Linked DNA regions of Caenorhabditis elegans. The protein of the gene in region 2 interacts with the protein of the main gene of each other region in a pairwise test. Each region holds a gene or a part of one and is shown on either strand. Other genes may lie near its edges.

What was found. The genes of interacting proteins can lie anywhere in the genome.
Region 1: the proteins of C17H12.8 (region 2) and thoc-2 interact in a two-hybrid assay, tested with the Caenorhabditis elegans proteins (one large-scale study listed by BioGRID).

What each region holds. Positions count from the first base shown.
Region 1 is NC_003281.10:6,366,147-6,374,052, reverse strand, and holds thoc-2 (THO complex subunit 2), read right to left. Parts: upstream 6,012-7,906; 5' UTR 6,008-6,011; coding exon 5,912-6,007; intron 5,864-5,911; coding exon 5,732-5,863; intron 5,531-5,731; coding exon 5,439-5,530; intron 5,393-5,438; coding exon 5,173-5,392; intron 4,953-5,172; coding exon 4,770-4,952; intron 4,720-4,769; coding exon 4,567-4,719; intron 4,519-4,566; coding exon 4,014-4,518; intron 3,786-4,013; coding exon 3,384-3,785; intron 3,071-3,383; coding exon 2,251-3,070; intron 2,203-2,250; coding exon 2,094-2,202; intron 2,052-2,093; coding exon 1,913-2,051; intron 1,865-1,912; coding exon 1,005-1,864; intron 950-1,004; coding exon 569-949; intron 503-568; coding exon 281-502; 3' UTR 149-280; downstream 1-148. Other genes in the region: C56G2.15 (N-acetyltransferase domain-containing protein), read left to right, coding at 6,231-6,305, 6,398-6,537, 6,722-6,959, 7,160-7,360.
Region 2 is NC_003282.8:6,817,178-6,821,099, reverse strand, and holds C17H12.8 (CUB-like domain-containing protein), read right to left. Parts: upstream 2,384-3,922; 5' UTR 2,376-2,383; coding exon 2,324-2,375; intron 2,270-2,323; coding exon 2,163-2,269; intron 2,063-2,162; coding exon 1,950-2,062; intron 1,493-1,949; coding exon 1,374-1,492; intron 1,328-1,373; coding exon 1,215-1,327; intron 1,167-1,214; coding exon 810-1,166; intron 739-809; coding exon 553-738; 3' UTR 525-552; downstream 1-524. Other genes in the region: C17H12.6 (CUB-like domain-containing protein), read left to right, coding at 1-10; C17H12.5 (Tyrosine-protein phosphatase domain-containing protein), read left to right, coding at 3,523-3,530, 3,629-3,922.

The DNA.
Region 1 (7,906 bases), on a different chromosome or scaffold from region 2:
CCCATAGATTGGAAGTCGTTCGGAAATTTGACGTTGTCTTTTGCTCACATTTAGCACTTGATCTTCGACTTTTGGATTGACTCTTCGAGCAAGCATTCTATATTCGAAATACTTCCATTGCTTTCACATTCCAAGAAGTTCAACGATCCAATGTCTTTAGATTTAATGCTAACAAAAAATAAAACGAATATTTAATAATCCATCAGGATACAATAGAAAACCTCGTAGACAACATAAACTGAGATACAATAATGAAAATCTGGGGATATGTGGTGAGAGCTCATCTAAATGTTCGATGCCCACGATCTCTTCCACTCTTTCCAGCATCACGTGCAGGCTCTGCTATTCTTGATGCCTTTGGAAGTTCTTCTTTTTTTTCTTTTCGATCATCTTTGCGATCTTTTCGAGAGGACGATGTTGATTTTGAAGGCTCCTCTAGATCAAACTCAATCGCTTTTCGAGAGCCTTTCTTGTCATCTTTCTTGGGAACTGGGTCGGGAAGCTGAAATAAATCACATTTTCGAAAGGAAAATTTTGAAAATAGCTTGAGAAAACGTTAATATCTTACCGCGGGTCCTGCCACTTCAAGCTTCTCATCGGACGGCTTGCTTTTTTGCTTCTGATCTTTGAGAATCTTTTGTTCTTTCTGGTTTTCTCCATTTTCTCGCTTCCTTTCCTTATCCTTTTCTCGTTCCTTATTATCCTTCTCCAACCGTTTCTCTTTTCCTGTTTCTTTGTCTTTCGATCGTTCTCTTCTTTTCTTACCTTCTCCTTTTTCAGATTCTGTGTCCTTCGGAGATTCTTTCTCATCTTTCTTTGAAGGTTCATCAGACCGTTTTAAGCGATCAACAATTCGAGTCTTCTTTGCAGGAGGGGGACTTGGAGTCTTCACTTCACCATCTTCAGTTGTTGGCTCTTTCTTTGATTCTTTTGATCCGTGGGATGATTTCTAAAATTATAATAGTTAGTTCAGTTCTGTGAATTTTAATAATTTATGTACTCACTCCAGGTCGCTTCTTTCTCTCTTTGTTATCTACTGTAGCTTTCTTCTCTGTTTCACTTCCATTCTGATGTACTTCATCATCTTTCACCACTTTCTCCGAACTCGTCGTCCCATTTTTCTTCGAATCTACTTTAATCTTCTTATCAACTGGTTCCCCATCAGCTTTATCTTTCTCATCTACCACTTTTTCTTTTTTCTTTGGTTTTTCAGCACCGACCGACACCTTCTTGTTGGGAACTGGGGCGTAATCCGAATTTTGAGCATAAATCTTCACAGTTCTCATCTTGAGCTTTCCAACATACGAGGCTGCTTTTAATGATAGATCGTCACGTTTTCCCTTCTCTCGATCCTTCAACTTGGTTACAGCTGTTTCCATTGTGGCGACTGCATGTGATATGACTGGAAATCCAGATGTCAACTTTGTCATCATAATCAATGAATTTCTGATAAGTACATAGTCAGCATCATCTTTTGTGAAGACTGTCTTAAACATGGCAGTAAATCGAATTTGCCATCTATAGCATAACTTTCGGAAAGTTTGATATTCAATTGCTTGTTTTGTGATCATTCCTGGAAATCCTGCACATTCCTTCTCGAAAACTTCTTTCTCCGAGTGCCATCTTTGAACAGTGCAGAGCAGAATTTCAAAGAAGCATGCCAGCGAGTTGGCTTCGTTCTCGGTGAGCCCCGCGATCAGAGGAATTATGTTCTCGAAGAGTCTGTCAATGATCAGAACCGATGGGAAGAATGGAGTCCGCATTTCGTGAAGCATCATGAAGAATTGACCACAGAACACTGCATCAAGTTCGGAGAATATGGCACGTGGCAGGAGGCATTGTTGAATGAGAGCTTCCAATACAGCTGGAAATATTGGAAAAGTATTAAAGCGGATTTCATGCATAAACTTACAATTATGGAATTGCTCATCAATCAACGAGTCTTTCTTGTTCAGAAGCCATACTTTACAACGTTCCACGTGCTCAATTTGCCTCTTCTGCTCTTCTCGAAGCTTACTCTCCAACTGTTTATCAGTTTTCTTAGCTTTTCCCTGAAATAAAAAATAGTAGATTATTTATAGATGAAAACTAACATGACTGTCTTCTCTTGACTGTTTCTTTAAAGCATCAAGTGTCCGTTCATATGCAGCTGTCGGAACTTCGATATCATACATTGTCAGCATCCAGAAAACAGCGAAGAATCTGAAAGAAAAATTTAGCAAACTGGGCGAAAATTTGATAAAAACTCACTTCACAGGTATATTCTCCTCCATGCCAGGTTCAGATGCTTTCAGCTCATCCATTAACATTTCCACTTGTGATTCCAACGCACTTGTAAACATTTCAGTCTTTTGCTGTGTATCCAAACGAGTCTTTTGTCCATCTTCAACAGCAGCTTTCGAGATTTTTTTAGCCGCATCATAGTGATCTGATATTCTTGAGAAGAAAATAGGTCTCGCCAGACACATTGTGGCTTCCATTCCAAGTGAATAATCAGATAACAATTCACGAACAGTTGGAACTCGTTTCGAAAAATCATCATTTTTCAGATAAACACTCAAAAATGAAACGAGTTGTTGAAATGTGTCACTACACTGATCAACCATTTTTCCAACAAGTTTCAATGGAAGAGTAGAGCTTTCATTGTAGACAATATGCTCTTTTTGTTGAGCAACTGAAATTGCCAATCCAACAGCCAAATCTCCTTTCAGAAGTGCATCACGTAGACGTTGAGCAGCTTTTCTATTCTTTGTTGCCGTTGAATATCCACCAGCTTCCTGTTTCAACAAGTCTCCACCTCCAAGTGCTTCAATTTGTTCTTTCGTTGCTCCACTGATACTCTCGATCCATGACATATTCTGGATAATTTCTCGAAGAAGAAGCATATCGTAACTTTTGCAAAGTTTCAATTGATTTAGCACATAGTCTAGCATTCCGTTCAGTTCGAGTGGATATCTTCGATAGAGAGATCCAACCAGTGTTCCAAGAGCTTGCAGCCAAGGAGAGATGGTAGCATCAGTGGATTTGAGAGCTTGTTTCGATGGATCAGCCAATTGGGAGATGATGCAATCTGGAATAAATGGAAAACCTTCAAATGAGAAATATTTAAAATAGATTTGAAAAAGTTTGACTTGTTTACAAGTGAATGAAAAAAACGAGAATTTTTTCACATAGCTAACTGAAAGACTCAAAAATTTAAAATGTATCAATTTTTCCATAAAATTTTTTTATGAATTTATATGTTAAAATCTTAAAATTTCTCAAAAAAAAACGTTCGAAATTTACAAAACCTTTCAGTTTTCGTGGTTTTAACAAAATAATTTTTTGGACGTTTTTTCTCGTTTTCTAAAAAAAATTGTTTTAAATTTTGTTTGAAAACTTACAAGTGAGAACATCAAATTCAAGACTTGTCAAATATCTCAAACTATCCACAACAGGTCCAATGAAATTATCAAAAGTTTGCACTTGACTGAGGAGATATGAGAGTACTGTAGATGGATGTATATGACACAATTTTCCCAATTGTCTGCCCATCATCTTTACAGTTTCCTTCGAAAGACGCTTCAGAACATATTTTGTTCGTCCATGAATTTTCCCCTTCATTATATGCATTTCTGGATGTCTTGAAGTTTCAAGATTCCATTTTGAATACATCCAATATCTCCAAGAATACGGGAAAAGCTCAAGGAGCTGCCAAATCTCTTCACTAAGTGCAACATTTGTTTCGGACAGTGTGAGAGATGGTAGAAGACATTCGGAGACGACTTCCACGAAATTTTGATTTACTGAAATAATGATATTTAATTTTGAAAATGGTTGTTTTTTTTTCTTCAAAAATACGGTGCTCGATCTCGAAGTGACAGATTTACATAAATTTTAAAAAAGTACAAAAGTACAAGGAGTTCTGTAGATACGAACTAATTTTTCCTAGTTTTTATCGTTTTTTCAAAATGTTTTGTTAACCTTAATATCGGGGCGAAAATCGCAAAATTTCACATTTGAAAAAAACCTACGTTTATCATCCTTCGGTAGCAGATCCTTGTCAACTTTTCGGTAGTAGGCAGTCAAAAGTCGAACAATTTTGATATTTGTTGAAGCACGAAAGGCTATTCTAGGTCCCAAATAGGCAAGTACACTTGACAATTTTCCAAGATCTTCCCAACTTTCGATTGGTCTTAATCCATTTCCCATATCATCTAACACTGGTTTCGTCGATTTTATCAAATCTCCAAACAAGTTCAGCGAACAATTTTTCTTGTAAAAATCGTTAATTGATTTCTCAATTATTTTGCAAAGAGCTCTACAGAGTCGTGGACTAGCTTGAACTGCATAGTATTCTGGGAGACGATCAATGAGCATTTGAGCTTGTTTCCAGTTTCCACTTTCTAATAATGCACACGTTAAACCAAGCTTCTGATTTGATGAGAGAACATATTCCTCATTAAACCCTTCAGATAATTTTATATCCTCGTCTTCTTGAAGTTGGATTACTGTAGTGAAGGAAATCGTTTGCGTTGTCTGAAATGTTTTTAAAAATTAGATAAATATTCAATTTTCCGACCTAACCGCATTTCCACCTATTCCATTTTCATCGAAACCTCTTGAATCCATAATTGGCATTGAAGCTGTAGAAATTGTTTCTGCTTTTGATGCTCTTTCTTGTGCATTCTGCATTCTTGAACGGTGCCCTTCTTTAATTGCTTCGGCTTTTGGAATCATCTATAAATATTAATTAATAATTTCGAATAATTTAAAACGGGACTCCTCACATATCCTAAAATCTTCATCATATCGATCATTTCATGTTGAATGAGCGAAGCTGTCAGAACGTACAACGAATATGGCGTTTTCTTCTTTTTATCCGATTGATAGAATGTGAATTTGAAGCCCAGAAGTGCACACAGATAGTCACGGACCACGTCAATTTCTTTGAGAAGTGCAATGAAAAGGAGCTGAAATTAAAAATAAATATTTTTAAAATACAAATGAGCTGGATTCGTTTCAAGATTTCTTAATCTCATCATTTGAATTTCCAATTGTTTTATTTGTAAAGGATAAACGGAAAAGTTATAAATTCCAATTTTTCTCTATTGTTGAACTTTCAAATAAGCTCCGCCCACATCATGGTTGACCACCAAAACATCATGAATTTATGCAGATTCTTTATTTTACCTTCTGCCTCGGGAAATTCTCGAAAACTTCCAATATAACGTCAGTGACACGATTTGGATCCAAATTGAACTGTCCAATTAATGAAAGTACTCGATGCTTCAGAATCTTCGCATGTTCATTCTCATTCGCTGAGCTCTCGGCTGCTTCCATAAGCTCTGTGACAAGTTTTGAGTAACCTTCAGACTCTTCTCGAAATAAGTTGAATTTGGCCTGTTTGAAACTGAAGAAAAATGAGTTTTTGCAGAAATTGAATGAATTTAACTTACTAGACTTTTGTTTTCAACCTAATTAGTGCCTTGCTGTGATCATCTTTTTTGAAACAATCCAGCTCGAGGCGGAGGATTTCTTCGGGGATTATCTGAAAAAAATTTGGTATTTTTACAGGAAATTTCCAGTTAAAATCTCATTTCTTTGTTAAACAATTTTGGATTAAGTTAGAATATTAGTTTTTTTCAATCCTGAAACTACAGGTTAATTTTATTTTCCGCCAATAATACTATCTTCCATATAAATAAGCCTTTTTTGAACCTTGAGCTTTAAAAGTTGAAAGTTTTATTACCGTGTTAGTGAGTAGATTCACAAAGGATTCAAAATTCTCTTTGGAAGTGCTCGCGTTGTCAGCGAACTCGCTCTCCGGCTCGGTGAGCACTAACACGTCGATCAGCTCCGAACTGATGGCATCTCGATCTTTCTGAAATTAATGATTTCTAATTTGTTCAAGATTTTAAATGAACGAAACCTTCTCTGTGAGTATCCTTTCATAAGCCTTCATCGGTGTGATTTTCATGTGAACAATATCGAGACATAACTGGGTTAATGTTTCGAAATCGTTCATTTCTCTGTAATTATAATAATTCAATCAGAAACTAAAAAAAGAACATTAAAAGGAAATATGAGATTTCAAAAATTAAACTTTTTAAAGCGAGTTGGCACTTTGCCAGCCGAGGCAAACAAGAGTGAGAACGCGTGGACGGGAAATCTAGAGTTGAGATTTCTAGGCCATCGAGTGTGATGAGGGCATCTGAGCTCAGAAACATAACCAATTATCGGGTATTAGGATGCCGGACTTATTTTTTGTTACGCTTTATGATAGGCAGGATCTTTTGAAGGAGAGTATGACATTTTTGAATTCGGTGAGTTGTATTCTAGAGTGGTTTTCTAAATGTATTTTTTCTTTGGTAAAATAAATAGCTATATTCATAATTTTGAACTTTTCTAATTCCAGGAATGGCCCAGAAGCGATGGATCTCGTGAGCATTCACAGAAAAAATCATGCCGTCAGTCCCCTCCAATGTCGTTTTTGTTGCTCAATAAGGAGAATGACGAGATACTAGGCCACTCAAGAATCACACATCTTCCAAATCGGTGAGTAATTGGAATAAAACAATAAAAATTTGAAACTTTCGGATTATATTTCAACAATTAGAAAATTTGATAACTCACTAAAATTTCAGGAAAAAATATTTAAAAAGTTAAAAAATTTTAGCCTGAAAATAAAGGAAGCTATCATAATTCTCAAACCATTCTCCCAAAATTTGTTAATTTTCAGTGACCATGCCTTATGGATTGAGTCAGTGATGATCAAGAAGGATCAACGTGGCCTTGGACTCGGGAAATTCTTAATGAAATCCACAGAAAAATGGATGACGGAAAAAGGTTTCAATGAAGCATATCTCTCAACTGATGATCAATGTCGATTTTATGAATCTCTTGGTTATGAGAAATGCGATCCGATTGTACACTCGACAACAGCCACTTGCATCTTTCCAGCCATGAATCATTTTCAGGTAAATAGGCTTTTGAAGTTTTCAGAAATACTAAAAAATCATGTTTCTTGAAAATTCACAAAACTATACTCAGATCAATCTGATTTAGTTCGGAAATTTTGGAGATCCATCTTCAGATTCAGTCTAGAAAAATTGAATTCCTTAGTAGAAAATGCACAATTATTCAGATTTTTCTATAATTTATATCATGTTAATTTCAGAACGCGGCCGCATCCAACCCGTCCTTCCTATCAAAGATCGCACAGCCTTCAGCCTCGTCAACAGTCTCAGCTTCTGCTCCACCACCACCACCACCGCCTCCGATGGCTCCAAAAATGGTCACCAGATCCACGTCCCCGATTGTGGACGTCAACACGATTGATCACCAGTACATGAGAAAATGGTTAAAACCAACTGAATAATATATTGAGAAAAGAATACGCAAATATGAAATAAGAATTTCTACTTTTTATTGATTTTCCGCATAATGTAAAGTAATTTTAAGAATTACAAGAATAAAATAATTGAATGAGAGGGCGTGGGTGTGTTTTCTTAAAAACAACAACGAGTGAAGGGGGAATTACAGAAAAAAAGAAATAAAAAATGGGATAGAGATGGGGGTGATAGGTGGAGATGAGGGGATATGAAAGGTAGAAGAACCTGGTAAAATGGTCTGACGGGGCTCAAAGGGAAATGGGGCTCAAAACCAAAAAAGAATAAAAAGAAATTACCTAAATGAGAGAAGAAAGGCTACTAGACGATCTGTGTTTGTTGTGGGGAGAGGAGGCATGGGAGATAGTGGATAAAAACGATGATGAAGCTAACAAAAATAAAAACGAGTTGATAGAAAAAATAATGGGTCGCCTATTGCGAAAACGGTTCAGATTGGGAAAACAACAGTAGGTACAAAACAGCCATTCTGTGCATGTATACAAGGAATCATTCTGTGAATGTATTTTGAGATATAA
Region 2 (3,922 bases):
ATTAAGATAATTACAATAAATTCTATATAATTTCGCTAACGTTTCACAAATGTCAAATATTTGCAAATGTTGTGTAAAAGGTGGAAGTAACAAACTGTGGAGATATGGTCATTAAAAAGTAATTTTAATTTATATTGGTTGTTCCCGCAATTTAACGGAATCAGTTAATCGTTAATCGGTTCTATAAGAAACCAATTAAAACTCGAAAACGATAGTGATAGATCCCATACATACATAATTCAACATAATCTTACATTGCTAAATATAGGGATGTCAGAAACCGTGGTTTAATGCTACACAGCAACGGCTTCCGATATGTCTGCCTATCTCATTTTTCCGCATTTTTACGGGAACTTCGGCGGTTTTTAATTTGACAGTAGATACAACGTTAGACACAAAAATGACTATTTTATTTATTTGAAGAAAGCTTATTTTAGTTAATCAAATGCCTAAAATGTTTTTGGATGCTGTTGATAACCACCCAGACTCAAATATTGTGCACATGTTTTGTTTTGGAAAATATTATAATTGAAATTATTTATTGGACAACATTCAGTTCTGTTCAGGATATGGAGAAACGAGCTTGAAAGTTGCTGCACAGTTTTCCGCCACAATGCAGAATGATTTGTGGGTGATGTTTCTCGGATAATCATATACAGCTGTGAAGTCAAGATATACTTCAGATGATGGAGTTGGAGGATATTGAACTGCTCTCAGTACACAATTTGGTTCGTTGGTCTGAAAATTAATCTGATTCAATGGAACAGGAGATTTCTTTTTTTTTAATCCAAAGTATTCAGTTTTCTCACCTTCTGAACGTCAATCACTAAAACAATATCCTCCATTGAAATGACAGTAACTGCTTTCTTCTTTTTATCTCCAACAGTTGAATCCATATCCAATTGATTTGCTTGGAAATAAGTACTGAATGCAGTATATGAATCATATTGTTGAGCTTGTGAAAGTGGAACAAATGTAACAGAACTCTCTGATACTCTATTATCCAATCCAACAACAGTTAGGATATTTCCGGTGCTGATGTATCCTTGGTAGACAAACTTAGACATTCGGTAAACAGCTTTTGGGTTCTCAATGTATCCTTCAATTACAAAATAGTTATCGAAAATGTCACTGTACCAGCCGGAGTGAGCAATCGACAGTGAAATCTGAATTTTTTTAACTCAATACTTAAACTATTTCTGAATTCAACTCACTCTCTCATTTGAAATCATTGTCTGGGGTGTTCTGTAGGAATTGACTCGCAAATCGTTCAACATGAAATATTTCATATCGGGGTTTCCAAGATGAGTAACTGTTGTGTTCAGCACTAGAATAAATAAGTTTTTCATTAGTTTTAGTATTATTTTACTCACTTCTTTCAAAATGAACTACTATTCTGAATGATGAATGCATGTTTACACTTTTTGTGATCACTTGGAATTTTGTAGTCGTGTTTGGGAAAATGTAGAAATGGACAAATTTTGCAGATCGGCTGAAAACAAATGCGAAATTCGAAAAATTAGAAAAATTGATGGAGAGAGAAAAATCGAGCTTACAAACGACTAACTAGGGACTATTTTTTGGTCACCAGATAGTTATGGGTCGAATGATATATTTTCTGAAAGCTTGAGTCTCAAATAGTTTGAGGAAAGAAACTCAATTTGAATAACCTCAAAAATGACATGTCGTGAAGATTCAAATGTTGAACCTGTGTTTTCTTGAACACATTCCTATTTAAAACGTTTTTTTCTGGTTAAGACAGGTTTTATAAGTTTGAAATTTTCATAAACTGAATAGCATTAGTAGTTTTTAAAAGGCTATCATAATGACTGAAATTTTTGAAAATTGGAAGTTTGGGAGGTTAGTAATTTTTGTTTAATTTTAAGCTCGTTTTGTTGACGGAATAAAACATGCGTGCTTCTTAAAATGTTAAGAATAATAGGATTTACCTTGACACTATTGTTCTTGTTAATTGTTCGTCAATTACGGTAATCATGTCATTATTTCCATTCAATCCGTTTTCCAGTGTAACATGAGCATAAATCATTGGCGGTGCGTTTACCTGAAGGTTAGAAAAATTTGATTTTTGTAAGCTAGAATTTTGGAAGCGAAATTGAGAACTTACTTACTACTGAGCAACTCAAAAGAAACCAATAACTTACATTGTAGGTACAACTGAAGTTTGGTGGAATTTGAACTGTGTCATTAGCACCCGCTGGTATTGTCACAAACTCTCCAGCTATGATTGGCTCAGGGATCTGAGTACATTCTGAAAAATGTATAGTTAGATTTATAAGTCTTTCAAAAAATGTGTGTATCTTACCCAAAGCTGTTGAAACTGTGACAAGTGCAAGGAGCCAAAACGCTACAATCATCTTTGATGACAAAGTGGAAAGTAAATTATCAGATTGACTTTGAGCATTTATAGTAAAATTTATTAGCGTTATCACTGTATTCAAACGCAACACCCCCAGCTATTCTCGAGCTGTGATATCACTGTCGTGGAAAAATGATATCATTTTATTGACCTTCTTAGTCTATTGGTTTCTACATTTACAGATTAAAATTTTTCCTTGAGAACAATTGATAAGACCAATCGAGAGGACAAAAATTGCACGCACACTTAGTTTTGCAAGCAGATCAAAAATAAATGCATTTGAATATTTTCTAAAATTATTTCAAGGCATATGTCACTGTTAATCAAGATCGGCTGAACTTTTCTGTATGAAACCGATTTTTAAAATCATTCTCTAGGAACAAATCTGAAAAGTTATGTTGAAGACGAACGCCGGAACTCTTTAACTCGTTTAAATGATTTTTTTCCAAGTGCACAATTAGTTTCATCAATTCTAAGGTTTTGTAGGAAACGTCGTTTACTGCCTCCATATCAAACAGCACTCGCAACCTGTAAGATAATAAGAACAAACAAATCCATAACAACTTGTTGGGTTTACATATACATTATATACAATAGGCAGTCGAAGAGAACCCGCAAGGCTGTTTGGAAAAATTAAAAAATTTTCATTATTATTTCGAAAATCTTAACACTTTTTGGTCAAGTTTAGCGAAACCCCGTTTTTAGAGCAATTTTAGTGGTCTCCAAATAAAAAAACAATGGAAATCTGGATGTGTTGATTTCCCCACGCATCTGAAAATTCTTTTTTTTTCAATGTTTTAAGAAAGCGTTTGCGAATGCTAGTTTAATAGCTGGGGCAAATCATTAAAAAAAATTTGAAAAAGATGGTTGCGTAGAGATATACGCCTTGAACCAGTGAGCAATTTTATTTATCTATTCATAATTTTTTTTTAATTTAGTATAAAATTTACATAATTCATACTGAAAAAATAAATTAATTTTTTTGTCGTGACTTCTTATTTTTTTAAAAATAAAACACGTTCCAACACGTAAATTCTTATAAAAAAATACCAAAGTTTCAAATTGAACATTAGTTCTTAATTTCACAAGAATAGTTTCTTTGGTTTTCTCAAGAAAAACTTCTAGTCTACAAAGGGAAACGAAAGATGTCCACGTAAGTTATAATGCGGTTGTTTAATTTGAAGTTAGAGTAGTTAAAGTTATTATTTAAAGTTAGTCTTGCTATATAAATTTAAAATAAGAACATTTCAGAAAGGAAAAAAAGACTAAGAAACCGCACAATGTCAAGAGCTCGGTAGTTCCACCAAAAAAATGGAAAACCAAGAAGAAGGACAAGAAGGGGACCGGGAAGTTGCGCAAAACCGCTTCGAATGCAAGTTTGAAGAAGCATGGCTCCACACACAAGATTAAAAAACCAGAGGACATCACTTCCGATGGTTGCCCACTTCTTCTGACGGCTTCCGATACTTGTGCCAACATATACGCTGAACAGCTGTCCGCTCCGAACAATCTTAGTGCCAAAACTTCAACGCCGCATAAATCGAT